4 linked regions of the Arabidopsis thaliana genome follow. The protein of the gene in region 1 binds, or shares a complex with, the protein of each later gene. Each region holds a gene or a part of one and is shown in the gene's direction. Other genes may lie near its edges.

Region 1 (9,188 bases):
TTCAGTTGGCCTGAAACCCATTTGAAGCATTTGCAGAAACAAAGAGAGACAAATCGGACCATCCTTATTGGCATAACCCGAAAGCAGCGCATTCCAACAAACAATGTTCTTATCACGTATATAATCGAAGCATAGGCGGGAATCTTCCAGATTACCACATTTAGCATAAAAGTCAATCAACGCATTCCCCAAAACTATGCCAGTTTCGCAGCCATTCTTAATTAGCATGCCATGAATTTGGCGTCCGCAACTCAGTAACTGCACAAGAGAAGAGACACCAAGAACACTAACGTATGTACCTTGGTTCGGGGAAAACCCATGCTCTGGCATACTCACAAAGAGTTTGAGTGCTTTTAACGGGTTCTCACTTTTGGCTGTTGCACAAATTATGGCGTTCCATGACACTATATCCCAGGAACCTGCATCCTGAAACATTCTCTCTGCCATATGCGTATTGCCACATTTTCCATATGCGCTGATGAGAGAGTTAACGACGGATATTTCACAATCTAACCCTTTTTTCGTTGCTGAGCAATGCAACTGTTTGCTAATATCCAAGTCCTTTACACAAGATACACCCTTCAATACACCCAGGAAAGAGCTTTCAGTTAAAGAAGCGCCCATCCTAACAAGCTCACGGAAGAAAAACATGCATTCTTTGAGAAAACCACGATGCCCCAACAAAGACATCATATGGTTCCATGTTTCCAAGCTCTTAAACGGCATATCTTCAAAAACCTGTTCCGCCATTTCCAGCAAGTCAAGCCTCCCATACAAACACAACAAACAAGTACCAACAAATGCATCAGCCATAAACAAGCCATACTTCAAGCTCAAACCGTGCAACTGAGTTCCAGCACGAACATCCAACGATGCACAGGACAATAAACCACTCACTGTTGACTGGTTCGGCAAATATCCAAAATACCTCATCTCAGAGAACACACCCCAAGCTTTATCAACATCCCCGTATTTGCTGTACCCTTTAATGATCGTGTTGAAAGACACTTTATTTCTCTCAGGCATTTGATCAAACACTTTGCCTGCAAGTGATACCTCGCCAAGCTTCTCATAAAGACTGATAATGTTATTGCAGACATAAACTGGCTGCAAAAGAACAGAGCATAAAGTGATGGAGAGAGCGTGAAGAGCTTTGGTCCTTGCAAAGGAAGGAGCTTTTCTGCAGACATTGAGTAAGCTAACTACACGATCGTTGTGATTGGCGAGATCTCCACAGCTGAGGCTCATGCAGAAGGATACTGAAAACAGAGTACTTCCCAGATCGATCTCAGTTATAATTAAGAACTAAGTTTCGTGCATCATGAAGAAAGTTCTAATAAAGGTCTGAAATTTTAAAAGTTCGGATTTTTATAAACATCAAGAACAAAGTTTGAAGTTCAGAACCAGGGAACTAAATAATTGATCTAGACCGCACCGGCTGGTTCAACCACAGTATCACGGTTTTATCTGTCCAATTGACCAATCTGGCCCATATTATTTTACAAATAAGATCTTTCAAATTGGCCCATATTTAACAAAAGAAAATCGAATTAATATTATGGTTTTCTAAATGAACCAAAATCAACTCAACTTTTTTTTTTTGAATAATTTTATTTTTATTCCATAATTTAATTTGTTTATCATTTCCAATGAAATTTTATCATTAATAAAAAAGGTTGCTCTCCTCATCCCTTCCATCTTTCCTTTCACATTTTTTAGATTATACCTCATGTTTGAATAATATTGGTTTACATATCTAATTCATATTGAAAAACCCTCCAAATCTCTAGAGAAAAAGGACGATAAGAGTACTTAACTCACAAAGGGCAAATACCCAACTTTTGAATCTCCTTACATATTTTATGACAAACTATGAAGGTGTCCTCCAAATACTCTTTAATCATCTTTTGATTATCATCTATAATGATTGTTTCTTCAGACCTCATACCCATATCTTCGAGCGGTTTTAGTATCTTTACTGTCTCGTTAAATAGATTCTCATTTACCATTTCTAAGCATTTCTTCTCTTCTATCGTTAGATCAACTTTCAATTTTTGTATGTCTTTGACGGCTTCCAACAAAACTAACAACAACAAAAAGAAAAATCAAATCAAAAGATTTCACTATAAAGAACAAAAAATAAACAAATTGTTAGTTACCATCATAGAACAAATAATATTCAGCTGCCACAACCCTTTTGAAAAGTTGAATACGTTCTGTGCTTTTGCTCATCTCAACAATTTTGATTAAAAAAAAAAATATCTAATGCATTCTTTGTTACAAGGTCGAGATGTTATTTTGTAGCGTATATAGTGTTTGAGGCTTCTTTGTTTGGAAAAGATCGCTTTCGAAAAATAATAATTATTATTATTTTCCATGTTATGCTTCATATAAAATGTGGACTCAGGCCTCCGAAATAACAAATAGAAAAAATTGTGTTGAATGCTTAAAAACGAGAAAGAAATCTCTCAACTTTGATTTACTGGACACGCATTGTATTTGTTTTCTATAATTAGTTCAAAATAATAATTTGTAAATAGTTATCTAAATTCGGTAAAATACAAACCGATAACTTTTCATATCAAATACAACAAAAGTTAGATATAAATCTTAAATTTCTATACTTTAAAATTGAGTAAACCTGAAAAGAATGAAATTTAGTCTACCTAAATTTATTAAAAACCAACAAAATTTTCATAATTCGAACCTTAATTATTTCAGGTTTGAACCGCTTATATTTATGAAAACCAAATGAACTAGCTAAAACGAAAACAAAAGCGAAAATGAACATGACAATTTTGACAATGTTAAAATGTGATTCTTTCATTAATTTGACAAATTCAACAATTCTTAAGAAGATCAATTGAATTGATAAACTATGCTGCTCTTCTTGGGTAATTCTCACATTTTAAAAAAAAAACAAAAAAGAAGAAGAAGTTAATTCTACCTTAATCTGCAACAAATCGTCTTCAAGATAATTATATCACGAATTGATATTTCTTGTCTCTTAATCTTAACGAAGAAACTACACCTCCTGGCTCCTACTGAATGTGCGTTGAACACTCACCTATTGACTCATCTTCACCATTCCTTCTTTCTTCAATCTATCATAGATATAAATACACTTCTTTTAAGTCACCAATCTTGTTTTCGTAATGGTACGAGTCATAAATCTTGATTTGTCTTTGGTAAGTCATGTTTAGTTGTGGATTATTTGTTTTTACGCATTTTCTAGATTTTAAAATTTTATCTTTATATAAACAAAAATAAAACGAAAAACTTTCAATCTTTGAGCGCCAAAACCAAAATTTTCATCGAAAAGGAAGATCAATTAAAATATTATAAAATTTCATAATAATGTCTTCAAAGCACAAAATAATAGTTTTAGTATTAAACCCACTCGGGGAAAAAAAACACATAAAAAAACCAAAATCGATTTCATTGATTTTTTCCATATTCACAGCGAAAGAATCGATCCTTAATACAAAATTCCTTCAAGATCTCACATCTCTTATAAGCTTTCTCGATACCATCATTTTCCTTTCTTTTTTTCTTTTCTTCGATTCTAATTTGGTTCTGCCGGATCTTCAACCTTGTCTGAAGAAGACATTTTCTAGGGTTTCTAGAGATTGGTCGGGTTTTCGGTTCAAGTAAATGGTGGATCAGCCTATCGTACGCTCCACTTCATTAGGTTATCAACGACAATATTCATCATCTAATAATCATCATCAAGGTCTTGCTTCGATTCTGAATCTCTGCTGCTGCTGCTTCGATAGTGTTCTTCGACAATCACCAGGTGTTATTGAAAAGCAATGCTGAGCGTGATCCGAGTGCATCTTCCTTCTGAAATTCCCATTGTGGGCTGTGAATTGACTCCTTACGTCCTTGTTCGTCGTCCCGATAAGAACTCCACCACTGATGACGTCCCTGAATCTGCTCCTCTTGAAGGCTACTTCTTGAGATACAGATGGTTAGATTTCTGATTGGCTCTTTGTCTAATTGCTTTCTTGGATCATTTGGCGAATTGGGGTTTATCAAAGATTGAATTTTGATCTGAATTCAGAGATTTCTCATGTAGATGTTCTGATTTAGGTCGTCAAATGGTTTTTGTGTGTAAAGTTCTGATCTTGTTGTAGATTCATTTTTTGGATTTATTTGTTGTAGGTATCGTGTACAGAGTGATAAGAAAGTAACGATTTGCAGTGTGCATCCAACGGAACAAGCTACTTTACAGTGTGTTTTCTGTTCTAAGCGTAGATCCCTTGTTCCAAAAAGCTATCACTGTTCGCCAAAATGCTTCACGGATGCGTGGCAGCATCACAGGACTTTGCACGAGCGAGCAGCTGCGGAAAACAACGCAAACGAGGATGATGACTTGAACAGGAATAACAGTGCGGGTTCTGGGTCTCTCGCTGGTTCCTTATCTGGGTCTATGTCAAATCTTAGTATTGCCAACAATGGTCCAGCTCCGTTTTATCCTTCTAATATTACTCAGAAAAATGGAGGAGAGACTTTAGTTGAGGTTGGGGGTTGCAAAACGTACACTCCAACAGCTGATGATATTAGCCACGTTTTGAAGTTCGAGTGTGTTGTGGCTAATGCTGAGACTAAACAGATTGTCGGACATCCTAGTACCATTTTGACTTCACGGGTTATTCCTGCTCCTTCTCCAAGCCCCCGTAAGCTAATCCCTGTTAACGGAGCTGATGGGATGGGTCACTTAGATCAAGATGCTCGGATTCAGTCTGCAGGATCATTCACTGTTCTTTCATATAACATTTTGTCTGATACTTCTGCAAGTAGCGACCTCTACAGTTACTGTCCTCCTTGGGCTCTTTCATGGCCATACCGAAGACAGAATTTGTTAAGGGAGATTGTTGGATATAGAGCCGATGTAGTTTGCCTGCAAGAAGTATGTTATTCGTATGGACTTGGTAATGATTTAAAGCATTTTAATTCTGAAAAATCTACTTCTAATGTGTTCTTTTTTTTGTTATCTGGCAGGTACAAAGTGATCATTTCCATGAAATTTTTGCTCCTGAGTTGGATAAGCATGGGTATCAAGCTCTTTACAAGAGGAAGACTAATGAGGTTTGGTCAATGATTCCACACACTCCTTCCTTCAGTGATTTATGTTTTAAAATCTATTAACCACAAATTTCTTGTTGCTAGGTTCTCAGCGGAAGTACAAGTGCCATTGACGGCTGTGCAACATTTTTCCGGCGGGATAGGTTTTCGCATGTCAAGAAATATGATGTTTGTATTCAGTTCTATATGTTTACTTGCTAGATCCAGTAAGATCTCTATACTAATTCATGGACTGTAAATCCAGGTTGAATTCAACAAGGCTGCTCAGTCTTTGACTGACGCTCTAATCCCTCAGGCTCAGAAGAGAACTGCTTTAAACCGACTGGTTAAGGTATTTTTGACATGGTATACAATATTTTTCTGGGCCACAGCTGATTATCAGAGAGTTATTGTTTACAAAACTGAAACCAATGATTCTTATGTTGTAGGATAACATTGCGTTGATAGTTGTTCTTGAAGCCAAATTTGGTAATCAACCTACTGATCCTTCTGGGAAGCGCCAGCTTATTTGTGTGGTACTGGTTCTTTTTTTTTTTCCATTCTCATGAGAACTGTTAGTTTCTGTATATGCTCTTTTAGTGAAAGCCAATGAATTTTCTTATTTTGTTGTGGCAACTTGTTTAGGCAAACACACATGTAAATGTTCAACAAGATCTGAAGGATGTGAAGCTCTGGCAGGTTGGTGTATCTCTATATCCGAAATAAATCAAATTTCATTGAACTCGAAAGAATTAGTATTCACCTCATGTTTTCTTTTATTCTTTTGCGTTTAGGTTCATACCTTATTAAAGGGACTAGAGAAAATAGCAGCTAGTGCCGATATTCCTATGCTTGTGTGTGGAGACTTCAATACGCTTCCTGGGAGGTTTGTTGATTCATAAATTCTTTTGACATGATACATGAAATGCAGAATTCTCTTATGAGTAGCTAAAGTTTTTCTTTTTGGCATTTTTATGACAGTGCACCTCATACACTTCTTGTAATGGGAAAGGTTGATCCAATGCACCCAGATCTGGCAGTCGATCCCCTTAATATCCTGCGTCCTCACACCAAATTGACTCATCAATTGCCTCTGGTAACATTGCTTTTTTCGATTTAAGTAAATTTATACCGCTTATCTTTGCGTCTCTCTTGGATATTTGATAAATGAATTGGTTTCAGGTGAGCGCGTACTCATCGTTTGTGAGAAAGGGAATAATGGGTCTTGGATTGGAACAACACAGAAGGAGAATAGATCTTAATACAAACGAGCCTTTGTTTACCAATTGTACAAGGGACTTCATCGGCACTCATGACTACATATTCTACACAGGTTTCACCATTTTTAACTCCATTGTCCTTGTTTTCAACTACATCAGAAATAACAAGTTAACTTAATTGGAAGATTTTTTTGTGTTTGGGTTTCAGCGGATACATTAATGGTGGAATCTCTATTGGAATTACTGGATGAAGATGGATTAAGAAAAGACACAGCTCTTCCTTCCCCAGAATGGTCTTCTAATCACATTGCTCTCTTAGCTGAATTTCGATGCACGCCTAGGACAAGACGCGGTTAACCGCCTTCACCACCCACCATCATTTGCTTACAGATAGGTTTTTTTTTTTTGTTCCGATCTTCTTCTTTGATCAGACTATGACATCAACTGTTTAGACGAAACCTTTACCAAATCTGTGATAGAGATGACACAAAGATTCAAAGGGATTCTGAGTAAGGCAAACCACTCTATGAAGTTGGTCATTCTTTATTATGACCCCTGTGTGGCTCTGTCTAAACCTCCTTTTATATCTCATTTTGATCCTCAATATAGTGAAAACCCTTTGACTTTTCTTTTCCTTGGATCAATTTTAATGTTTGAACTGCTTTGTATGACTAAATAGCTCATGAGAATAATATGGGTCTACTAGGGGGTTTTCTTTTTTCACATTGAACAAAGAGACGATTCGTGTCTACTACATAACCATTTAAAGAGCAAACATACACATCTGTGGCTGCTCCCTAATAATAAACAATAGAGATAAGTGAGAGAGAAAGAGAACATAATCGGTTCTTGAAGAATTGAAGTTAAAGCTTAGTCCCACGCACTAGCCACTCCAGGACCATACCCTTGGTTAGGAACGGTTCCATATCCTCCAGGACCATAGTAAGCACCACCACCTCTACCATAAGGTGCATAACCACCACCCGGAACATTTCCATATCCACCACCTGGTACGGGTCCGTACCCACCAGGCATTGCTCCATAGCCACCACCAGGAACGCCTCCATATCCACCACCTCCACCATAGTAGTCAGCACCACCACCGCCTCGACTAAAAGATTCTCTCCTGAAGTCACGACCACCAAACCGTCCACCAGACCGCCGGTTCTTACCACCTCCAAATGAAGCACGAGATGCGTATCGAGTCAGCCAGTCAGGGACCTCCTGGTTAGCTTCTTGCATTAGCTCAGCCAGTGGCTTGGCCATTGTTGTGTTGTTGTCATTGAAGAAAGCAGTTGCTAGTCCTGAATTTCCTGCACGTCCTGTTCGTCCGATACGGTGGACATAGTCATCAATGTCGTTTGGTAGATCAAAGTTCACTACATGAGCCACGTGCGGAATGTCAAGACCACGTGCTGCCACATCGGTTGCAACCAAAATAGGTGTCCGCCCAGTCTTGAATGATCTCAGTGCCACTTCTCTTTCCTTGTATGCATAAAAAATACAATAAGGTTTTAGCTTTGGTTGCACTGAAGAATACTCTACAATATCCTAATTTTGATATCAACAACTCACTAACCTGTTGTGACCTATCACCATGAATGGTCGTTGCTGGGAAACCATTGATGCACAACCAATTCTCCAAAGAGTCAGCTCCCTTCTTTGTCTCCACAAAAACTAGAGTCAAAGCTTGCTGTAGAATAAAATAAATTGGATTGTAAAGGTGCTCTTGAACAACAATGCATCAAATAGAACAAAGAGACAATGAAACAGAATCGTGAAACCGAAAGGAGCAATAGTACTGACTATGTTCACTTTTAACCATGAAACCAATCATATTGATTTAAATTACCTTTCCTTGGTTACCATTCTCCCTCTGGGCATGAAGAAGGTCCATTAGATGGCTTCTTTTGTCAGAATCATGAACAAACTCTACTCTTTGGACAATTAAATCCGTACTTGAACCCACTCTTCCAACAGCCAGAAATATGTAATTTGAAAGAAAATCAGATGCAAGTCTCTGCACACAAAAACAAAATCATAATTAAGTGCATATGGAATGTAAAAGATTCCTTTGCTGCACAGTACGCAACTTCTATCTTGTAATTTTAAGAGCCAAAATTTTGGTAGTGTCAACTTAAACAATAAACATTATTTAGACAACGAATTGAACCCTCCAGTAATAAAGGAAAACAAGATTATGTACCGATCATCCTTCTCATTTCCCAGACCTACCAAATCTCACTCTTTTCTTCAGTTATAGAACAATCACGGACCTACAACAAGCAGCTACCCTTAGTTCCCTCTTACTCCCAAGTATATTAAATTTCATTGAAATGAATCGCTATCTTGTTCTTTCATATCACTAACATAAGAACCGCTATATTCTTCCTCACTCCATGCAAATATCAGATCATTTACACAAGTTAAGGATAAGTGCTCGGTCAGATTTATCCAAGTTGATTTAAAAGATAATAATTCTCAGAACAATTGTACTGGAGACCCAAAAGACCCAAATAACGTAGTCCCATAACAATGAAGACACTAACAGAGCAAGAAAGACTGAAGATAGAGATAGCTGAGAATCTTCTCCGGTAAGGAGAAAACATAGAAATGGCATGTGAACGAGTTCCACAAACCTGTATCTCCCTAGGAAATGTAGCACTGAACAACATTGTCTGCCGGACACCAGGAGGAGGCATGTCCATCTGCTGAACGATCTTCCTGATTTGTGGTTCAAAACCCATGTCCAGCATTCTGTCCGCCTCATCAAGTGCCAAGAATCTTACCATCTGTAATGAGACTCTACCTCTCTCAAGCAAATCATTTAATCTCCCAGGAGTTGCAACAAGAATATCAACTCCTCTTTCAAGCTCCCTAATCTGTACAACAGCAAAACAA
Region 2 (6,986 bases), on another chromosome or scaffold:
GTTGTTACTTGTAGATATACATGTTCGTGAGCCAGAAGGTGATATTTTAATCTTCATGACCGGACAGGTCTGTATCATCTGTTTCAATTCTAGCCATTGAAATCTGGCAGAACTATCTAGATTGTTGCGTCCTGTCTTACTCTATTTTGGTTTTAACAGGATGATATTGAAAAATTAGTATCAAGGCTAGAGGAAAAAGTACGAAGCTTAGCAGAAGGATCCTGTATGGATGCTATTATTTATCCTCTTCACGGTTCTTTGCCCCCTGAAATGCAGGTAACAATTTCTAGAATCAGAATATGAGTGTCCATTCCAGATTTTTGCTTCTGGGCAATTGAGATATCTAGGTGATGTAAAAGGTTTTGGTAATTTGCTTGACTTTCACCATTTCTGCAGGTTCGTGTCTTTAGTCCTCCTCCTCCAAACTGCCGCAGATTTATTGTTTCTACCAATATTGCTGAAACTTCCCTTACTGTGGACGGGGTTGTGTAAGTTACTCAAAACCTTAAGTTTATAGTGTTATTTTTTGTTTTCATGTCTGGTATCTACCGTAAGATTTACTGTACATATTGATACTTTCATTACGATAGTGTTAAGTCAGGCCCTGTAAAAAAATGAATAAATTTATCATTCATACTAATCATGAAGACTGCAATCGTGTAATTAGGTGCAGTAATGGATTTAAGCAGATATATGATACCGGCTTAATGTTGTTTGTTATATTCCTCGCTCCTTTAAATTCACTTCACATTTCAGTACATGTTGTTCACAATCACGTCTATGAGATCTACTTTTGGAGTTTAACTTGAAACAGACGATTGAGACATTTAATTCTACATGAATAGGTCGTACTGTCTCTTTGTCAAGCTATCAAAACTGAATGTAGTATGAGAAGATTCCTTATTCTGTGATGTTACTGTTGCCAAAAGTCGTCTTTGTTTGTATCATTTGTTCATATCTGCATTTTAAGCAAAGTTCTGATAATGTTTTGACAATTTGGAGATCGATAGCATTCTCAGCCTAGTCTGTTTTCTTTGACAGGTATGTAATTGATTCCGGGTATGTGAAGCAAAGACAATATAACCCATCAAGTGGAATGTTTTCTCTTGATGTTATTCAAATTAGCAAGTAAGCAAATGAATCTTGGTTCAATACCTTCATTCATTCCATTAGATTGTTTGCTAAATATGAACCTTGTAATAATCTATTGGTGCATATAATGAACTTGTAGTTGATGTGTGATGATTTATAGCCGTAACTAGTAAAGATATCCGCAGTTGGCTCAAAAAGGAATTATATTGGTTCAATAGGACCTCATCAGATTCAGATATTACATTTTTTAATCAGGAATCCCAGTGGTTTCTTACTCAGGTTTTCATCAAGCTCCTATTTGCTAACTGTACTTTGAATATTTTTCTGTTTCACTTTGTTTTTCCAGAGTGCAAGCTAACCAACGTGCTGGACGTGCTGGCCGAACAAGACCGGGGAAATGTTATCGTTTATACCCATTGGCAGTCTACCGAGATGACTTCCTTGATGCAACTATTCCTGAAATCCAACGAACTTCTCTTGCCGGGAGTGTTCTATACTTGAAATCATTGGATCTTCCTGATATTGACATTCTCAAGTTCGATTTTCTTGATGCTCCTTCATGTAAGAACTTATTTCTATCCGGAGTTTAATGTCTCTTATAAAGCTTTCTACAAAATCAATGGACTGATGGTTTGTCATGCACAAACTGCTGTTTTTCTTTTTTTTGCTTGTGATACTTTTGAATTTTCCAGTGATATAATATATCTCTGGTTTTTGTCCTGCATATAATATTCAGCTGAGTCATTAGAAGATGCGTTGAAGCAATTGTATTTCATTGATGCAATTGATGAGAATGGAGCAATAACAAGGATTGGACGGACAATGTCTGGTATGTTTAGCGCAGTTTTCTTCTGTTTGATTTTTTCTAGTTTGAGCTGCTATCTCATACTGACCATATTTGTGGTTCAACAGATCTTCCACTAGAACCATCATTGTCAAGAACATTGATAGAAGCGAATGAAACCGGTTGCTTATCTCAAGCTCTAACAGTTGTTGCTATGCTGTCAGCAGAGACAACTCTTCTTCCTGCTAGGAGGTTAGTTTTTACGATATACAATAACCTGGGTCAGATTGTGAAATGTTTAAAATCACATTGACTAGATACAGATGCGTCAACTCTTGTCTTTATGGTTTTTGCTTGCATGATAGTAAACCCAGTGAAAAGAAGAGGAAACATGATGAAGATTCTAATCTTCCTAATGGATCCGGATATGGTGATCACATTCAACTGCTACAGATTTTCGAATCTTGGGACCGTACTAATTATGATCCTGTATGGTGCAAAGAGAACGGCATGCAGGTAATTGTTCCATTTTCTTCCTTCCTTCCTTATCTATTCTCGAGTATTCCAAGTGAAAAGCATGGTGACATCAAAAGCCTTACTGCATTGTTACTTCAGAAGGTGGTCAGTTATATGCTGTCTCTGCAGTTAATACAATCTATATAGCATAGAAAATCCCTTCATTGTTGAGACCTGACTCCGATGGGCGTCAATGTTTGTATTTTCTGCTTCATACAGTTTTATAACCAACAATTATGGGAGTTACTGAAATTTACTACCTTTGTTTAGATAGTCTATTTCGGTACATTATTACGTGGGTTCCTTATGCCAATAAGAAAGATAACTTTTGTTGAAAAATAATTTGCAGGTGCGAGGGATGGTGTTTGTCAAAGATGTTAGAAGACAGTTATGTCAGATTATGCAGAAAATATCCAAAGGTTAGATTGTTTCATGACAAGAAGATTCCGTGAAAGAATATATAATTATTTCTCTATGGCTTTCACCCTAAATGGTTATGCCTCCAACAGAACCAGAGTTTATGTCAACATCACTCTTTTATCTTGTGAGATGTGATAGGTGGCTGTGTCATACCTAACCAACCGTCACTAAAATATTTGGTCTCCTTGACAAACTAGATCGATTGGAAGTTGGGGCAGATGGTAGGAAGAGTTCAAGCCGAGACGACTACAGGAAGTTGAGGAAAGCTCTATGCGTTGGTAATGCAAACCAAATTGCTGAGAGAATGCTTCGTCACAATGGATACCGGACTCTTAGTTTCCAGTCCCAGCTAGTCCAGGCATTACTTCTCAATCCAAGTCTCATTTATCTGTTACAGTGTTAGATTTTCTATTACATCAGTAGCTCAGATATGTAAGCATTTCCAGTTTCGTATGATCATCGACATATTGACGTTTTTGGTTGATTCTAGGTGCATCCATCATCTGTATTGAGTGCCGACAATGACGGAATGATGCCTAACTACGTAGTGTACCATGAGCTGATTTCCACCACACGTCCGTTCATGCGGAATGTTTGTGCAGTAGATATGGCATGGGTGGCTCCCATCAAAAGAAAGATCGAGAAATTAAATGTCAGAAAATTGAGGTAAAAACAAACATTACTCTTTACTAGTTCAATCCAGTCTTGTTCTAGCTTTTTCTTGTCTGGTCTTGGATTCAGTAATTGATCGGTATCATTTAATCTGCCATGTAGCGGTGGACCGGCTCCCTCTTTCAAAGTACCTGAGGAGAAGACGGAGTTGTCTAAAAACAATGCAGAAACACCTGCAGTTTCTGAAAATGTTGAGAGTCGGATTGAAGCAGCCAGAGAACGCTTTCTTGCTCGTAAAGGACAGAAATAAATTTGATGTCTCAAACATAAATACAAGATTCAACTAGCCCTATAAAGAATAGAAAAGAGAAGCTTTCTGTAGAAGATTTGTTATTAGAGACAATTTTCAAATTTTGTATGTTCTGTTTTTTTTTTTTTTGGCTCAACTTAAACTTTTCTTTATTCTCATTCGACATGAGTTTTAAATTTTTAACCCAATTTGGTATGTTCTTAGTATTATGTTTAAAAGATGATAATGTTTACACGAAAAAAGAAAAGAAAAAGGTTTTGGTATTAGTCAGACTTCGGTTTAGTGATTTAATTCGGTTTAGTATTAAAATTGTAAACCGCTTCGGAAACAGGCTTCTCTTATTTTGGGCTTTTGAGAGGAAAATGGAAATCTCGTGTCCAACAAGAATTAAATTAGGAGTGATAAAAGTCAACACGAACTTTTTGACTGGAAAAAAATGGAAACTTTCCGGCGACGTAAGAAAAAAGGAAACTCCCACTGCTATTAGTATTCGAGTCTCCGAAATCAGATAGAGAGAGAGATTAGTATTTCAGATAAACAAACTGTTTCAGTCTTCAAAATCCGAGAGAGATGGGTGAAGTTTGGAGATGGAACAAGGAAGTAGAGATGGATTCGATAAGAGATTGTTTGAAACATTTTAGTTCCATCGCTATCGACACAGAGTTTCCCGGATGCTTAAAGGAGACTCCGATGGACGCGAGTGAGGAAATTCGTTACAGAGACATGAAGTTCAATGTGGACAACACCCATCTCATCCAGTTAGGTTTCACGCTATTCGACAGAAGAGGAATCACTAAAACCTGGGAAATAAACTTGTCAGATTTCAACGAACATAAGTGCTTCAAAAACGATAAGTCCATAGCTTTTCTCAAAAGCAATGGTCTCAATCTGGACAAGATCGGAGAGGAAGGTATTGGAATCGAAGAATTCTTTAGAGACTTTTCTCAGATTCTCAAGGAGAAGGACGGAAAGATAACTTGGGTGAATTTTCAAGGCTCTTACGACAATGCTTATCTCGTTAAAGGCTTAACGGGAGGGAAACCGTTACCGGAGACTAAGGAAGAGTTTCACGAGACCGTCGAGCAGCTTTTGGGAAAGTTTGTTTTTGACGTAAAGAAAATCGCTGAATCATGCAGCGGACTAAGTAGCCGATTCGGACTACAGAGAATAGCTGATGTGTTGCAGATGAAACGTGTTGGAAAAGCTCATCACGCTGGCTCAGACAGTGAATTGACGGCTCGTGTCTTCACTAAGTTGACTTTCGATTTGCTCAATAGTAGAAAGCAGTGTGTAAGACGAGTTGATCATCAGCAATATCAACTAGAGCAGCAGCAGCTTATGATGACTAGATGTTACATCCCAATACCGATACCTATACCGAGACCGAGATCGGTGATGTTTGCTGCTCATCACCCGAACCCGTATTTTGGTGGTGGTTACTTTGGGATGCCGGTCCAAGGAAGGAACTACGTTTTGTGATGCCTGAATGTTTGTTTAACATGACTTGCTCTGCTATTATGTATAATTTCTAGTTTTATCAGATGTTTCTTTAAATACTAAAGATTAACTTTCATCTTTTCTTGTCGATCAAAACAATTCTCTCAACTCTCATATGACACAATTTCTCTTTACTGGATACTTTCAATGAATCTAGAATACAATACAAATAAATTTAAATATCCTAAGAATCTACTCAAAGCCTCTAATCTTATGTTATGTAGCTAAAGCTGCGTTCCTGTCAACAAAATTGAACAACTCTGTTTGTGCCGCTTCCATTATCACTCGGAAGTCTACGTTCATATACCTTCCCCTGCAAAGCCATATTTCAATTAAATCACATGTACCATCACCAAACAATAACTTGCATGGCTTGGTTTAGCTGATGATGATGAATATACCAGAAATGAGTCTTGGACCAGACTGAATTCGGAAAAGCTGGACTTCCAACTCCGTGCATTATTCTCGCGATGGCTCTTGGTGTGAATTTGGCTTGGCGATTACTCTGCAAAAACACCTGTTTTGACACACAATAGTTAACTGGACATTCTTTGGATACATGGCAAAACAATAAAGTATGAACAACAGTGTGGCTTCTTGGATCTTCACCTTTATGTCTGCTCGTAGAAAGGCGCTGCATCCACAATACAAGCGTTGATCAATTTAATGGAAAGATGACTTTGACAAACAAATAATATGTAACAACCGCAGTTTTATATTTCCTTATTCGCTATGCAATAATCGAAATTTGGAATCTATGAAAACAAGTAAAATATTTTGTTAGTACCAATTTTGAGTAGCCTTGCTCGGACTGTCACACTTTTCATCACCATTGAAGTAATCAAAGATTCTGCTTTGCAGGCTCCGAGTTTGCTTGGCACCAGAACTCAGTTCTGAAGTGTTAGAGACACTAATCGCAGCCACAGCTGCACTAGACATAATATCCAGTTTTCTCACCTATATCAGAAGCAAAAATTATTGCTACATATAAGCACAAGCGTTGGAACTTAAATTATGCAGTAGATCAAATTGAAGAACTTACTTTGCAACTTTCAATCTCTGTGAGCCACTTGGTTAGATGACTGGACAATGAACATATTTCCTTTGGAGATTTTAAGATTGTGTAACAAAAGGCGGAGTCCTTCAATTCGTATGTTACTTCCCCCTTCATCTACAAGTACTCAACATCGTTAATTAGAAATCAGGAAGATAATTAGGATTCAAGTGGAACACACACGAAATAGTTCTTAACAGAACACAAGCAATTAAACAAATAGATGACATATGATCCACCCTTAGATACATTTCCCTCAGTACAGTTGTATTTTCTCAGTAAACCCTACATCAATAGTCCATAGAAAAAATTGAACCAAACTTTATCACAAAACGATACTAATTAAGTATATCTTCTTATATTGTACTATAGTTATATTCCTAAGGGTAATTTATGTGTCTATCAGTTCTTTGCTGTGGACTTAAGTTTCTTCGTCACTTTTAATCCGTGCAAATTCAATCATGGCTCGCTTATTTAGATAAATATGCTTATTAAGATGAAATGAAAATTGAGATATCTGGTACTAAGCCACAGATTCATATTGGAGAGAGAAGTGTTATTAACCTTCAGAGCTTGAATCTCAGCCAAGACATCTGTTGTTGCAACACATATGCTAGAGGCCACAGCTGGTATATCAAAGACATGTAACCCTTGCTTCACGTGAGACCTAAAAACAACAGAAAATTCTTGAGCATTGCTGC
Region 3 (8,451 bases), about 15 Mb from region 1:
ATAAAAGACGACAATAACTTATGATTAATTAAAAAAAAGGTAGAAAAATTCACACTTAAGGATTTTGTTTTCATCTTGTTACCGTAGCTAGCTAGTACCATAAAAAGTTTTACTGATTACCCGTAAAACTATTAATTTTTCTACTTTGACATGTTTAGCATTTATTCCCTGACAATCCGATAACATTTTTGGATAGATCGTAAGTGATACGTGTCCCTTGCTGCTGCACATTCCCGATGATCGACAACGACGACGACGTCGGAGCAAAAGCGAAGCAAAACGTTCCACTATCATCCACAGGGATCAGATAATTCTTCGCCGGCAAATCAAGCGACTTCCCTCCCGTGAAATGAAACGCAACCGTCGGTACTTTCACAGTGGAGAGAGACGAGAAATCGTAACACGTGTCGAACAGAGAGATGCTCGAAGATCCTTTTTTGAGATTCACGGTGAGTTTAAGAAACGCGTCACGCAGCGAGTTATAAGCCTGCGTCTGAAGACGAGTCACGGCGGTTCCACAATCCAAGATCACTCCTCCGCTTCCCGAAGCATCGACATCGAAGATCGCATCAGGCAGCACGACTTTTTCACCACCGACGCTGAATCCACTGAGTCCGACGTAGTAGAAAGTGTCGATCTTTTTGTTACGTAGAAGCGGCGCCGTCGCGTCTCCGCCACCGAGTTGGACCGAGTTGAAATCAAGACTTGAGGACTTTCCCGAGTCACGGTCAACGAGGCAGTAAGAAAACGACGTCGCTTTCATTTGATTGGTTATCGATAAAACACCACCGCCTAAACCGAGTAAACCGGCTGCTCCGGTAAAGAGACCTTCGTTGTCGTGACCACAACCCAAAGCGACGTTGTTTATTTTACCAGAGTTACCAAACGTCACCGTATCGGTAGCGAGTTCACCGACGGTGAAAGATCCGTCTCCGTAACTAACTTGGTAGAGACATTTGTTTGACCGACAAGCGGAGGTTTCGAGAAGAGAGCACTGTGGAGCAGAGCAAGTGAGAGATTTGTATGTGGAAGACGAAGTCGGGTTAAAAACCGGGTCGGACTGTTGGTAACAGTCGGCGCAAGGTTCACACTGGATCCAATTTACGTCGCTTCCGGTGTCGAGAACCAAGTACATCTCTTTCGCCGGAGTTCCGACACCGATTCTTGAGAAATACTCGCCGCTTCCTTGAGAGGCTCCGGAGACGACAGGTGTCGTTAGATCCTCGGTTTGGTATCGTGTATCTTCGTTGTAAACGGGTTTGAGATCGGATCTATCGACTCCTTCGACGGCGAAACGGATCTTCGCGACGATTCCGGCGACTCGGGATGAGTCGCGCTCGAGTCGACTGAGTGTTAAGCTTTTGTAGTCTTTGTGCTGTGACGCGACGAAAGTGTCTCGAGAGTGAAGCTCTAGAGATAGTGGTGAAGATGAATTGAAGAAAACCGGGTCGGATAGGGATTCGGGTTTGGTGGTGGTGAGTGAGGAACGAGTCGGGTCGAGTGAGAGGATAGTTTGTGTTTGCTGGAGAGATGAAACGACGTCGAGTACGTTCGTTTTAGGTGGAGTGGATAGAGAGCGAGAGGAAGCATCAGTGGTGGTGAGGAAAAGAGAGAGAGTGACGACGGCGAGGAGAGAAAGAAATCGCGGGAAAGCCATTATTTCCGGCGAAGGTTGATATGAGTTAAGTGGAAGAGAGAAAGAGTAAGTAATGTTTTTAATTTATAGAGAGAAAAATAAATGCTGCGGAGAGAGTCACGCCAGAATTGCTGCGGTTATAAAAGCCACATCAATTATTTATCATCCTGTTAAAATATTTGGATTCACATTATCATCGATCGGTAAAAAAACTTTATGGTTGGATATTATATTTTATATATACAAAAATAAATTAAATAAGAAGTCTTAATCTGGATTTATCATATGATTCCCAACATAGCGTTACATTTATACCGAATCAAATAAAAATTTAGACAAATGTAATTTGAGAATTGTGTTTATTTGTTATTGGCACCGAAAGAAGAATTTGTACTTTGTAGAATTCAACACAAAACTATAGCATAGTGTCTGTAGTCTGTACGGACGAGAGTAGAAACTGTAGAAGATAGGGATTTGACCTACTAAATATTTTAATACAAGTCTACAAGCGATTATCCAATATTAAGCTCCTAGAGATGTGTGACTACAGAGTACTTAAGTGTTTATTTATTGCAATGACCTTTGGATACAAAGTACTCCTATATTGTTAACCAATTCACTTTTAATTTTTTTTACGTGACCAAAGCTAAGATCTTATCTAGAAAACTAAAAGCTTTCTGTCCTTTTGTTATATTCGGGCTTCAAAACTTTGTACCTTCTTCTTACCATCGCTGTCGAGAGAAAAGTCAGCAGAAGTTTTGGAAACTATTAGTTATAGGGATCGAATTATCTTAATCATCTACGATCATGTCATTTTGTGTTGGATATTTGTTAATGCTTGTACATTTCTAAAAAAACATGTGTTGTATATTAGCTAATGTCAATATGTGGTGCATATTTGCTAAGTTGCCGTGGAAATAACAAAAACTTAAAATTTTGCTAAGTACTGTACTTTTTTTTTTTTGTGATTGCAATTTGCTTAAGGTGATTGATGAACGAAGGCTATATGTAAAAACTGGAAAGGAGTGAATCAATGTGAGAAGTGGGTGAGTTGTTACTTCGTTAGAAGAGAGATTTGGGTTTATTTCGCTTTCCCTGAATTAATGGTAACGCACCCTTTTGGCTTTGGTTGTTGCGTGTCATTTATTTCTCTTTTGTTTTTAATCTTGTTATATCCATTTTCTTATACCTACTTTACTTTTTTTCCATAAAATGAGATTATGCAATTCAATCAGTAATGTTTTAAATCGCATACACTTTTATATTTAACAATATGCCTTCACTAATTTGTATTTCAAGATTAGTTAGTGATATTTTATAGTAAAGTTTAAAGAACATTATAATGTAGACGCAATCATAGAGTTTTTCTTTGTCAAAGGCAATATTGCAACAAAAAAAAAGGTAGAAACGAAGACATTTTTTTTTTTGTGTGTGTAATCAGTAATCGCCTTACACAAAAAGACATATACTTTTTTGTGTAAGGTTTTTTTTTTTTGAGCTACTATCACTAAATTTGAAATCAAATAATTGATACTCCAATAAAAGTAGAAATAATATCATAGTATATGAAAAAACAAAAAAAAATTACAAGGACGATGAAAGAAAAAACAAAATCTCATAACTCAAAATCAAATATCATCTCCAAGTTCTTAACATGATAAAACTAGACTAAAATAAAAACTGACATCCTACTAAAATTAGAAACAAAATGACATAAATTGAAATCAAACTCACAAAAAAAAACAATAGACATTAAAACAAAAAATCCGAATAACAAAAAACAGGATCTCAGCTAAACAAGGCCTGGTGTAGTATACTAGTATTGGCCCATGGCCCATGGTTTGGTATTTTTTTTTCTCTGACCAAAGGAAGAAAAAAAAAAAGATATTTATCCGTATGGCGCCAAGAGGTTTGTGTGGTTTTCGATTTCATCCAAATTTCTGAATTTCGTCTCTAACATCCACAAAATCGAATGCGTTGTGTGAATCGCGTTGATTGTTCTTGGTCACGGCCAAGCGAAGCTTACCGTATCTTACCCTCCGGTGGTCACCTTTCATCTGGATTCCATCAATGTCCTTTATCGTCTCTATCTTTCCGTTCCTCTTTCGTGTGTTGCTCCTCCTCCACATCTGGACCGTCCGATTCAAATCCCGAATCATCTTCAAATCGCTCTTACAGCCGTAGATGGCAGAATCCTCTTCCCCGGCGTCAACATCCCGATCAAATACCGTCTTCTCAGATTGCTCGTGATTGGATCGATTCAGATACAACTCCAGTTTCTCAAGGTAGTTTAATAATGATCTTATGGAAAAACTCTGCTCTTACTTATGAATTTGTGAACTAGTTAGGATTTAGTAAATTAGAGATATTAGTAATAGCTTGAGTTACTGTTTGTCCATGAAGCTTGTGAAATTGTGGATGCCTTTGGATCTTACTAGTGTGTCTCTATGTAATATTAGCTTTAGAGAGATTCACTGTAGTGTCGTACAACATATTGGGAGATGGAAATTCATCATATCACAGAGAGTTGTACTCCAATGTGTCTGTTCCTTACCTCAAGTGGGGCTACCGCAAAAGGTTGATATGCGAAGAACTCATTCGTCTCAATCCAGACATAATCTCTATGCAGGTAATGAACTTTACCTTGTTTTATATCGTGTTAAGATAGTTAAGTTGATTTTGTTTGTGGACCTTTGTAGGAAGTAGATAAATATTTTGATCTATTCAGTATGATGGAGAAAGCTGGATATGCTGGCTCCTATAAGGTTGATGTATTTCCTTGTTCAATGAAAAATTTTATGCTTATAAGATTAATGGGGTAAAATGTAAGACATGGTTTGTCGGTTGGTTTTATTTACCTTTTCGTCTGAAGCCTCAACAAAAGTTGTGTTTATATAGAAGGACTACAAATATAAGCTTTGCAATGGCAGCGGCGAACTGGAGATAACGTCGATGGTTGCGCAATGTTTTGGAAGGCTGACAGGTAGCACATATTGTTTGACTCAATCTGTATTAGTGTGAAGAAAAACGACTACTACAACTCAGCATTGTTTAAGATTTATCTTGTTTTCAAAAGGTTTGGAGTTTTGGAGAGGGAAAACATTGAGTTTAGCCAGTTTGGTATGCGGGATAATGTTGCACAGCTTGCTGTTCTTGAGGTAGAAATTTTTTTTGAATGTTTTACGAACTTCTTTTTTCATGTATATGCTTTGACTGATCCAGTTTTTTTTTGGGTTTCCCGTCAGCTCCGGAAGTCTAATAAGTCAAGAAAGATACTGCTGGGTAACATTCACGTGCTTTATAATCCAAATCAAGGAGATGTGAAGCTGGGTCAGGTAAGCCTCGACATTTCAATTTGTATATCCGCTACACGAGCAATTGACTGTCATGAAAGTTTACAAAATGTTGATCTGGCCCTTTCACCTTTGGCTTTAAGACTTCAGGAAATTGTACTGAATCTCAGTCAAGAGATGTTTACTAGCATTAGTTTAAATATCTAAGACAAGTCTAAGTTACTAGTATATGTCATGACATGTTCATTAGTATATGTCCTAATGCTCATGAAAACGTATTGAATTCGTGGCTTATGTTTTTTCTTGAGTTCCTGATTTGCCTTGTTCTTGACTGATAGGTCCGTTCACTCTGCTCAAAGGCTCACTTGCTCTCTAAGAAATGGGGTGACATTCCCATTGTTCTATGCGGAGATTTCAATAGCACTCCCAAGGTACGTATCTTTTCAAATAAACTCTTCCACTTTGGTTTGTGTATTTGTTTATTCATTGTTTGAGTTTATCTTATTACGTGTAGAGTCCATTGTACAACTTCTTGGCGTCCTCTGAGGTATGACTATTCATAGTTTTGCTTCAGTCAAACTACACTGTGTCCTCTTGTAGTTTCTTTAAATAGGATTATGCTTCTATCTTACAGCTGAATGTCATGGAACATGACAAAAAAGAGCTGTCCGGCCAGAAAAATTGTCGTCCTACCAAAGTTCTTGAAACTGGTAGCAAATCCAGTAATACAATAACTTTCAGGTAAGATTGTTTTTTGAAGATTTAATCAGTTCTGTGAATGGTTGTCTTGTGACTGCCTGCTGGAATAGCCATTGTGTTCACACACTAGTAGAAGTTTTTGTAGCTCTTGGACAAAAGAAGAGATCCGTGTCGCAACCGGGCAAGAGAACTCGTACTGGGCTGCGCATCCTCTGAAACTCAATAGCTCATACGCCTCAGTTAAGGTAACAAACAAAGCTTTAATGTCCCTGTCTATATATGACAAGACCTTAAATTTGCTCATGAACATGGTACACAACAGGGCTCAGCAAATACCAGGGACTCTGTTGGTGAACCTCTAGCAACCTCATATCACTCGAAATTTCTCGGAACGGTTGATTATCTCTGGTAAAACATTCTAAACACAACCAAAACTCAAATGGACAAATTTAATATTTGGCTGATGAAGTAACTAATTAGAAATACATGTGTGGTCTGGTTAAGGTACTCTGATGGTCTTTTACCTGCAAGAGTTCTTGACACACTTCCTATTGATGTTCTATGCAAAACCAAAGGCCTTCCTTGTCAAGTATGTCTTTCTATCAAACAGTTTAGATTTGGTGAGGTCATTTCTATGATTGATGCTTAAAGCCTTATTCGTCTTTGGTTTGCAGGAATTGGGAAGCGATCACTTGGCTCTTGTTTCTGAATTTGTCTTTGAACCGGACGGTTAAAGGCATCTAGTGCCAGCTTAGTTTTCTTTGAACCGAACCGTTATAAATGTGTTTTTATTAAATGTATAAGCGTACCGAAATTACCTGATCATGGTTCTATATCAAACCGACTTCTCGATAAATAAATAAAAATTGAGACGATCAGAAGCTTCAATCTTGTGTGCGTATTGGGTCACTAGGATATTAAATCGACTTCTTCGAACGTAATTTAAAGTGAGAGAACCAGTTTACTTGATTCTGGATCTAAACCGAAGCGGACATAAGCTTGGTTTAAATGTACCAAAAAGAAAGAATTGAACCAATTGGTACGGTTCTAATCTTGGTTCCGGTAAAATGAAAAGGAATTCTAAAGAGATTGAGAGCTGTAAAGTTGGAATCGAAGGAAGAAGAGACAAGAGAAAGTGAGGAAATTAATGGCGTTGAGCTCAATGACATGGGGTTACGCACGGATCATAGCTGGAACACTTCTCGGCGGGGCCCTCGGATTCTACGTAATGCATCGCATCGAAGTTAGCTACAAGGTCTGTTTCTTCTCTCTGTCTTCCTATGAGAAAGCTTGTGCTCGACCTTAGACTGTTGGGTTTTACGCAGATGAGGATGGAGGAAGCGTTGAATCAATACGAGAAGGATATGCAGAAGAGACAAGAAGAAGAAAATCTTATTCAGATCAATGAAGAATCTGTTTAGCTTATTTCTTGGTAGCATGCCTTCAAAGTGTTCGATGAAATGCCCAACAGATGTTTGATGCTGTTTTGACTTTTTTTCTCTCATGTATTTTTCGGTTTGGTTTGGTCTGGCATTATGAAAATGTTTCATTTGTCTTTGGTTTAATAACTATATACCATGATGGTGGACCAGAGAAGCAGCCATATTGAGCATTATATGTATCTTTCATCTATTCAAATGTTTCTTAAAGAAACAACTAAATCCTTATTACATCAAAATTGCTGTTCCATCCAAATCCTTAATCAGTTATGTTTCTGTTGTTGTTGTTGTTGTCGTTGTCTGTTAGAATGTGATGAGGATTTGATGTATTAGCTACATAACTTTGATTTTGGAATGGTATAATGGTTTTACTAAGCTAAATTTTTGAGAGATGTCAGATAGAAAAAGAATTAACTGGGCAAAAAGCATATGGAACCGATCCAGCTCTTTTGGACTTTTAAAAGTGTTTAGTCGGGTTCTGTCTTCTTTTTAATTCTAAAAGGTTTCGTAATTATTTTCTTTTCACCAGTTCAACTTAAAGAAACGCCAAAACAACAAACAAAAAAATGTCTAGATTTTGGTGTTTGTGCTCAATGAAAGAGTCTTCATTTCGTAGGGTCAACCCAATTCCTGATTTTTCATGGTAAATTCCACACAAAGAGGACATGTCCAAAACAGAACATTAAATATTAACATGAAAGAGACAGGAGAGTTATGTTGTTATTTTTTTGGGACCAAACCATAATTGCAGAACAATACTAGTAAGTATTACATAACTGTTTCAGTTTAATTACGTTATCATGGCAAAATTCATTTTTCTCTCAAGAATTGAATCATCTATGTATTTTAAGTCTCATTTTTTAGTTTAATAATTAGATGCAAACTGGTAGGGCTGATGAACCAGTGAACACATAAAAAGGTTCCACAACTTCCGACCCATATAGTTCGAATTACAAAATATAAAAGATGTCCTACTGAACAAAAATAGAAAAACATATTAACCTATTAATAGAATTCTCATATATGTTCGGTTGAGCTGCCTTCGATTAGGCAGATTAGGAAAAATAGTCTTTTGAATTCTCCTATAGAAGTGTTTTATATATCTTATGGATTTGTATATCCAGCCTGGTATGAAATATCTGTCCTAAAATGAATTTGTGCTACGTTTATTAAGGTTAGTTTGCAAAATAGAATTTTTGAAAAAAAAAAAAAAACTCTAGCTAGCATGTATCAGAAAATACGACATTTTGAAAGCTAAAAACATAGAGAAAAATAACATGTGCTATATATAAATATTACGTAAGTTGTTATATTTTATCATGCAAGATTGGCCCTGGACTTACTCATCATGTACCTATTTGTGGCCGCGACTTGGACTTCCTCT
Region 4 (7,032 bases), on another chromosome or scaffold:
TTCCCAATCAAGTTGAGTATTGGAGAACCTTGGTCCTCCTGAGCATTATGTGCTGCGAAATCAATATTCTTAGCCCTCAACTTCTGGAGAAGCTCCTGACTCAATCCAGGTAGCTGCACACGTACACGCTGAATCCGGTTACCCAACTCAGGAGAAACGGCCTCCACAATAGCTATAGTCCCATTCTCATACAAATCTACTTTCTCAACCCTTCCCTTGTCTAAATACTCTAGGAACCTAGAATAAGACATTCTAGACGAAGAAACCCCTTGTCCTTGTTCGTCTGCATTAGCGTTTCCACTTGCAAGCAAACCAACTCCAGCAGCAGCGTTTCCTAGTAAGAGTTTAAAGAAACCTCTTCTCCCTTCATGTTTCTTCTCATCCAAAGAAGCCTTCACAACTGTAACTTTAGATGTCCTATCAAGCCCAAGCTTTTGGAACCTCTGTTTGGTTGTGTAGACAGATAATCCATTTCCGAGAAGACAAGCCGATGAAGCAGCCATCTGCACAGACGATTACAAGCCATGGCGTGAACAAAAAAAAACAATCTGAACAAAGAACAACCAAACAAAACGAGACCTTTAACAACATGCAAGTTTCTGGTAAGACTATAATCAACATAAGCGATCATTAGCGACGCATATGAAGAAAGATTGGAACATTTTCATGCTCCAAGATAAAAAAATTTGTAGAAATTGCCACTGGATATAACATTAGTCTATATTTCAACACATGAATCCACCATTATTAGACATTCCTAAAGTCAAATTAAGAAGAAAACAGATAAAGACAAATAGACTTGCTGAACAAAACCCAGGTAGTAAGAATCATGCAACAAGCAGACCGAGATTTCATAGAAATTTTTATCATCAAAAGATTTCAGAAATTCAGACCAAACAAAGCAGAAAATGCTTGAGATTACACAGATGAGCTAAGAGTGAAACGCACCTGTGGAATTTGGCAGAAGAAGAGAAAGAGATTGTTTGTTTGGAGAAGCAAATGAAGTTTGGTACTTTTGAAGACAAGAGATGTGGCTCCGAACAGCTTACGTGGCTTCCTTTCATGGGCTCTCGGTTTTTATTTCACTCATTTCTTGTCACAATTTTTTCTATAACCATTTTTTCCACAAAAACCATCCATCAAAAATTCAATACATAAATAACGTTCACAATTTTTACATTATATAATTAAACTTATAATTTAAACCCTGGTAGTGATAAAGGTTAAGAAAAAGAATTCAAATTTTATTCCAAAAAATAATATTTCAAAAAAATTAGGATGTAAAAGTAAAAAATAGAACAAGAACAAAGATGAGAGTTTTAGTAGAATAAGGAAAGCCACATGAAGCAATTAGCAACCAAGCAAAATCTAAAGAAAGAAGACGTATTGAGTTTGGATACTAGTTTCTAACCTTTCTGTCGACAATACATAACCAAAAAAGTACACAACAAAGACCGTTTACTCCTACATTGGTTTCGTAGACAAGTATTGATCCAAGTACTCACTTACGCTACATCAAGTAACTCGCTTTTCCTGCTTTCAGATTATCTCGAGCTTTTGCTTGTGAGCAAGCCAATTAGTCCGAAATTCGGACAAACGCCATAGAAACATTGCCTGATTCTTGGTGGACCTAATCTCTCAAGTGTCTCATACACTTCCATATGGAAGATTGCATAGCTCAGACTCAATAGGGCCTGAAAAATCGTAATGTCATTCTTGTTCAGACATACTAGTGTTCCCAGATTCTGATAAAGCAGCATGGCGTCCCAAGAGAACAAGGTCAAGAAGCTTCCTCCTCGCATCGTAAACAGGATTTGGATCAATCAAACGTCCTCTTTCATAAGCCTCTCTGAGAAAGACAGTGTGTCTTTTCCCTTTAGTTGACACATAAAACATGCCCGGGTGATCCAAGAACAAATCTCTTATGTTCAAATCAATCCCAAAACATTTTCTGAAATGGCTGATCTTTTCTACCTCCACCATCTTCTCTACAGTCAGATTCAGGAACTCGTGAGCAATCGCAACCGCTCTTTTCTCTATTCCCATCACACCGGATCTACTCTTCTTCTTACCAACCATGTCCTCGTATGGCCCTACGTAAGGCAGCCTCTGCCATTCCTTAACTTTAGCCTTAAATGTCTTGCTCAGTCTCATTCCTGGTGGGTAACTATGTTTGAAACTAAACTGAATCTCGGTTCTATCGACACTGCAATCCTCCTTAGAACACTCAACCACCCTCCATTTCTCAACCGCGGCCTCAAATTCCAGTCTTTTCTCTTCTTCCTGAACCAGCTCTAAGATATGGGTGTTGGATTCATGACCATCACTAAGCTTAAAAAGATGAGGGTTCTTTGAGATCACAGAGTCCTCAAAATCATCTGGGAGCCCAAGTTCTCTCCAAACCTTAAAAACCGCACGAAGCGGAATGGACTTTGATATGGACATAGACAAGAGCCTAACCAACCGGTCAACAACAAGAGACAAAGTAGCAGTGATAGCCAAAGCCTCTTGGCGAGAAATCTCCATGGCTACATCAGTTAACCTGCAAAAGGGCTCAGCTTTCACAGGATCATACAAGACATGAAAGATGTGAGGATACTTTCGCAGGAAAGAAGCAGCGCCACGATTAAGGTGGAGCTTCTGGGAGAGCCTGGAGAGAAACTCAATGGATAGAGAGGGAGGATCAGCTGTTGGATTGGCGAGGGTAAGGTCTTGTATGGCAATGACCTTGAGAAGGTTCTTGTATTTGTCCATGAGCTTCTCGAAAACAGGGTCTCTTGATCTGGAAGCTACATATTGAGCAGACGTAGTCGTTGATCGGACATTGATGATGGAGCCACCACATGGGTGAACCAGAAGTGATCTCATGAGGAGGAACCTCATAGTATCTCAAAGAGTATATGGAGCTATTTTGAGTTTCCGCGTTCCACAACGTCGCTGTATATACCCACACTCTCTGCGGAATTATATCGAACACCTAACAGGCATTAAGGGAAAAAACGAAATTAAAAAATGAAGTAGAAGAATTATATGGACCTTTGTATTTTCATGTCCAAGACCAAAACACATCTATAAGCGAATCAATTACCGCTATAAAATTTATTTAAACTAATAAAACACATACAATAATAGTTTAGCCTAGTAAATAATTATACTAGTTTGATATCATAAACTTTTGGTATGAGAGGATAAATGCTGTCAAATATAAAGTTTTATAAAACAAAATATTTTAATGTTATGGATAAGTTTTTGACTTACAAAGAATTAAAATGGTATGATGCGATTTCTATAATTAGTGTCAAAGCATCTAATAACAATAACCATTCAAGTTCTTAGTGTTTAAAATCAAAAGTTTAAACACTAATTGATACTCATTTTACATATTAATCTAATACTTGTATTGGAAGTTTTGCCATTATCTATTAATTATATGTAATTTACTTTTTGGGACGGAAAAAGGAAATTGTGGATTGGTTAAAAAGAGAGTAAAAGCACCATATAGTAGCAAAAAGTAAAAGATAACTACAAGAATTTCCTAACTCCTAACGAAAATTAAAAAAGAAGAAGATAATTTCTAAATTAAATTTAACAGAAATTAAATTAACAAATAAAATTATAATCAGAGAGAATATAAACCGTCATGATCAACACCGCGTTAAAATTAATTGGAGAGCAAGCTATTAGCTTAAGCTATGTATCTTTAATTAATTAGAAAAAATCCGAGAAAAAAGGAAACTCAGGTACACGAATTTATTTAAGAAAAGGATAAATACTCTCTTTTTTTTTATAAAGAACCCTAATGCTCTCACACAATCAATCAAACCAAAAAGACTTCTCGTATTCATGCCTCTCCCTCCTAAGAAAAGAACCCTAATTTTTATTATCTGCAGAAATCATCATCATGAACGAGATTCATCAACCGCTGGCGAGGAGAGTATGGAGAAGCAACGTCGATGAAGAGATGGCTCGTATGGCCGAATGTCTCAAGCGATTCCCACTCATCGCTTTCGATACAGAGTACCCTGGCATTATTTTCCGCACTTATTTCGATTCCTCTAGCGACGAATGTTACAGAGCCATGAAAGGTAATGTCGAGAACACCAAGCTGATCCAGTGTGGTTTCACTCTTTTCAACGCCAAGGGAGAGATCGGTGGTGTTTGGGAGATTAACTTCTCCAATTTCGGCGACCCATCAGACACACGCAACGAGCTTTCCATCGAATTCTTGAGGAGGCATGGTTTGGATTTGCAGAAGATTAGAGACGAAGGAGTTGATATGTTCGGCTACGGGTTTTTCCCTAAGCTTATGACTGTGTTTCGTTCTCAGAAACACGTTGAGTTCGTCACTTTCCAAGGAGCTTACGATTTCGCTTACTTCTTGAGTATCCTCAATCATGGCAAGCTACCAGAGACTCACGGCGAGTTTGCAACAGAGGTTGTCAAAGTGTTCGGTCAAGTTTACGACACCAAGGTCATGGCTGGATTCTGTGAAGGACTAGGTGAACACCTCGGGTTAAGCAAACTAGCCCAGCTACTTCAGATCACTCGTGTGGGAAGAGCACATCACGCTGGTTCAGACAGCTTAATGACTGCACTTGTCTTCATCAAGCTTAAACATGTCTATGAAGATTCCAGATTTGCTAGAGGATTGATCTATGGAATTGGGAAAAGCAACCTCGTTGCCGCCCCTGCCCCTGCGCCTGTGCCAGAGCCGACTCTTCCTTTGATGTGCCAGCAGAATGTAGCTTCATATCCTGTGTTCCACAATGGATATGTCCAGAACTATGAGCAGCCTCAGCTTGTCTCCTACGATCCTTCAGGTGCCCCATGGGCGTTCTGTAATGCTACCGGTACGTATGTGCAGCTTACTCATCTACCTGCAAGCACTTTTGCATACCCGTCTCAGACGCCATCTGCTACTGTTGATTATCTTGGACCAGTTCCTAATTATTACAACAATAATGCTTGCTACGTAGTTGAGTAGATTGAGATTTCCCCAGCTTTAGGATGATTAGATGCTTCTGAGCTTTTTTCTTTTTTTTTTCTTTTTCTTTTCTGGCTTTTGGTAGTAGTAATGAAGATTTTATTTTTATATATTTATGGATTGTTTACATGGCTTCACTTTGAGTAATGCCTGTCTACAATCTGTGATATATAAAAGACCAAACTATTTTACATAAAAGACCAAACTTTCTTCATGATTTGATATTTTTCTTTTCCACACAAACTGCTATATCACACACAATGTTTACCGTATCTATATATGGTTTCAGAACGATGAACCCTCAAAGCTTTGGAATTACTATTCTCAGAATCCCATCCCTGTTTCAAACGCAATAATAAATTGGATGTTAGTGCTCTTTATAAAACTTGCTAAATTCTATCTAAACTAATTCAAGCTAATGACTGACTGGCACTAAGATGTAAAATTGGATTCTAAAACGACTACTTTTTAGGTGTGCACTACTAGCTAAAACCTACAGGCAGAATCTATCATATGAACTCTAGGATTGAAAGATTTAAGGAGAATAGTTGTTTGATCATACGGTTAGATTGTTAGTAAGTATAGCTTCTACTTACATAAATTCAGCGGAAACATTATCCTTGTTCACATTGCTGGGGAGTGGCCAGGAAACTTTGAATGGTCCTTGTAGTATTTCTTGCTTATGATATCCAAGGATCGAAGCTTTGGTGCCTGCATCAACTTTTTGACAGATAGATGTGCGTCTACCTGTCACAGTCAAGCTGCAGCAGAACGGTAAGTACCTTTGTTACACAATGCATTTTTACTGTGTGAGTAATGGGAACAGATTGAAAAAAGATGTGTATCAGCAGGATTACTTTGTGTTGTCAACCTCCACTCTTATATCATTGATACTGGCTCCTGGTAGCTCTATTGCCACAACATAGCTGTGTGTCGATTCAGCAACATTCGATCTGGGAGACCAAACAGTACCTGCAAAAGGAAAAAAACTTCTTTAAGTAAGTTCTCATGTTCATTTGTACGGATTTGTTTGAAGTACGGATGCTAGTTTCTGTAGATCAAGGCTGGTGAGAAACCACCTTTAGTAGTTATACCTAGTAATATTTGTGTGTTTGTAAACTACAGAAATCATTAAGTTCTCTAAGAAAAGTATCAGGTTATAATAGGACTAGAAAAGTAGTGTTATTGGAGTGGAATACACCTATATTTGTATTCGTACCTAAATTGGCTAACTTAGGAAGATCAAGCTTAGGCCTTTCCTTTTGCAGATTTGGTGATAAAGAAGGAAAAAAGATGTCCTCTTTTGCAGGCTTAGAAAAGTGTGGTGCAGCGTACGCAGGTGAAGAAGAATCGAAGCCAGTTGTTTTGGTAGCAGAAAACTTGGTAGATGCAGCAGCATCATGTGGTATGGTCCTCTGCAAAAAACATTTTGAATCAATTCTCTTTTACAGAAGTATAGATGAGAAGAGAAACTTTGAAAAATAATAATAAGAAATTAATGGTACCTCATTAGTCGAAGCCTGTCTCATAAAAAAACCTTGTGCAGAAGATGCTTGCCGAGCAAAATACAGCCTGTTGTCACCCCTTCTAACGACAGTGTTCTTCAAATTCATACCTAAGTTCTGAATCATCATCACAAGTGACAGAAGAGGTTAATGGTGTGGGCATATTTACATTACAGTACAGATATGACTTTGTTAACTAAGTGTAGTTAGACAGTAAGTGACCAGAGAAGAAGGAGGAGGGACTTCAAAACATAATAAAAAACTTATGGTACCTCAAGGACATCATCGGGTGAAGCTGGCCTCATAAAAAAGCCCTGTTCAGATGATGCTTGCCGGGCAAAAGAGATTTTGTTGTCACACCTTTGGATGACAGTGTTCAAACTGCTGCTGCAGTTCTGAGGCATAACACAAATAAGAGATCCATTAGACCAAAATAAAGGAATCAGTGAACCAACCTATTTGAGGCAGAGTCAAGTATAAAAAAACACATCCATAAGCATGATATGACTTTCAATAATTGAACAGTTTGAGCTTTCCATTGCA

The links.
Region 2: AT3G58580 (region 1) and AT1G27890 share a complex: the UniProt entries of both Arabidopsis thaliana proteins name them as parts of the CCR4-NOT complex.
Region 3: AT3G58580 (region 1) and AT3G18500 share a complex: the UniProt entries of both Arabidopsis thaliana proteins name them as parts of the CCR4-NOT complex.
Region 4: AT3G58580 (region 1) and AT1G06450 share a complex: the UniProt entries of both Arabidopsis thaliana proteins name them as parts of the CCR4-NOT complex.

Annotation. Positions count from the first base shown.
Region 1 is NC_003074.8:21,658,322-21,667,509, reverse strand, and holds AT3G58580 (DNAse I-like superfamily protein), read left to right. Parts: upstream 1-3,414; 5' UTR 3,415-3,812; coding exon 3,813-3,970; intron 3,971-4,164; coding exon 4,165-4,912; intron 4,913-5,004; coding exon 5,005-5,091; intron 5,092-5,172; coding exon 5,173-5,256; intron 5,257-5,332; coding exon 5,333-5,419; intron 5,420-5,516; coding exon 5,517-5,603; intron 5,604-5,712; coding exon 5,713-5,766; intron 5,767-5,861; coding exon 5,862-5,953; intron 5,954-6,048; coding exon 6,049-6,163; intron 6,164-6,249; coding exon 6,250-6,400; intron 6,401-6,495; coding exon 6,496-6,644; 3' UTR 6,645-6,912; downstream 6,913-9,188. Other genes in the region: AT3G58590 (Pentatricopeptide repeat (PPR) superfamily protein), read right to left, coding at 1-1,248; AT3G58570 (P-loop containing nucleoside triphosphate hydrolases superfamily protein), read right to left, coding at 7,158-7,772, 7,867-7,980, 8,140-8,307, 8,927-9,169. UniProt on the Arabidopsis thaliana protein: Acts as a catalytic component of the CCR4-NOT core complex, which in the nucleus seems to be a general transcription factor, and in the cytoplasm the major mRNA deadenylase involved in mRNA turnover.
Region 2 is NC_003070.9:9,712,363-9,719,348, reverse strand, and holds AT1G27890 (Polynucleotidyl transferase, ribonuclease H-like superfamily protein), read left to right. Parts: upstream 1-4,172; 5' UTR 4,173-4,304; coding exon 4,305-5,213; downstream 5,214-6,986. Other genes in the region: AT1G27900 (RNA helicase family protein), read left to right, coding at 15-67, 160-276, 397-488, 1,042-1,128, 1,439-1,653, 1,829-1,921, 2,005-2,128, 2,242-2,392 and 4 more; AT1G27880 (DEAD/DEAH box RNA helicase family protein), read right to left, coding at 5,448-5,544, 5,633-5,748, 5,841-5,865, 6,019-6,188, 6,274-6,402, 6,850-6,952. UniProt on the Arabidopsis thaliana protein: Ubiquitous transcription factor required for a diverse set of processes. It is a component of the CCR4 complex involved in the control of gene expression.
Region 3 is NC_003074.8:6,348,936-6,357,386, forward strand, and holds AT3G18500 (DNAse I-like superfamily protein), read left to right. Parts: upstream 1-3,536; 5' UTR 3,537-3,608; coding exon 3,609-3,921; intron 3,922-4,095; coding exon 4,096-4,265; intron 4,266-4,335; coding exon 4,336-4,401; intron 4,402-4,566; coding exon 4,567-4,619; intron 4,620-4,712; coding exon 4,713-4,794; intron 4,795-4,881; coding exon 4,882-4,971; intron 4,972-5,267; coding exon 5,268-5,360; intron 5,361-5,443; coding exon 5,444-5,476; intron 5,477-5,563; coding exon 5,564-5,670; intron 5,671-5,761; coding exon 5,762-5,873; intron 5,874-5,950; coding exon 5,951-6,036; intron 6,037-6,132; coding exon 6,133-6,217; intron 6,218-6,302; coding exon 6,303-6,362; 3' UTR 6,363-6,511; downstream 6,512-8,451. Other genes in the region: ASPG1 (Eukaryotic aspartyl protease family protein), read right to left, coding at 155-1,657; AT3G18510 (ATP-dependent helicase/nuclease subunit), read left to right, coding at 6,776-6,883, 6,954-7,049. UniProt on the Arabidopsis thaliana protein: Acts as a catalytic component of the CCR4-NOT core complex, which in the nucleus seems to be a general transcription factor, and in the cytoplasm the major mRNA deadenylase involved in mRNA turnover.
Region 4 is NC_003070.9:1,962,023-1,969,054, forward strand, and holds AT1G06450 (Polynucleotidyl transferase, ribonuclease H-like superfamily protein), read left to right. Parts: upstream 1-3,817; 5' UTR 3,818-3,901; coding exon 3,902-4,984; 3' UTR 4,985-5,197; downstream 5,198-7,032. Other genes in the region: FTSH8 (FTSH protease 8), read right to left, coding at 1-503; AT1G06440 (Ubiquitin carboxyl-terminal hydrolase family protein), read right to left, coding at 1,711-2,883; ACD32.1 (alpha-crystallin domain 32.1), read right to left, coding at 5,286-5,322, 5,581-5,745, 5,842-5,956, 6,204-6,399, 6,490-6,606, 6,762-6,884. UniProt on the Arabidopsis thaliana protein: Ubiquitous transcription factor required for a diverse set of processes. It is a component of the CCR4 complex involved in the control of gene expression.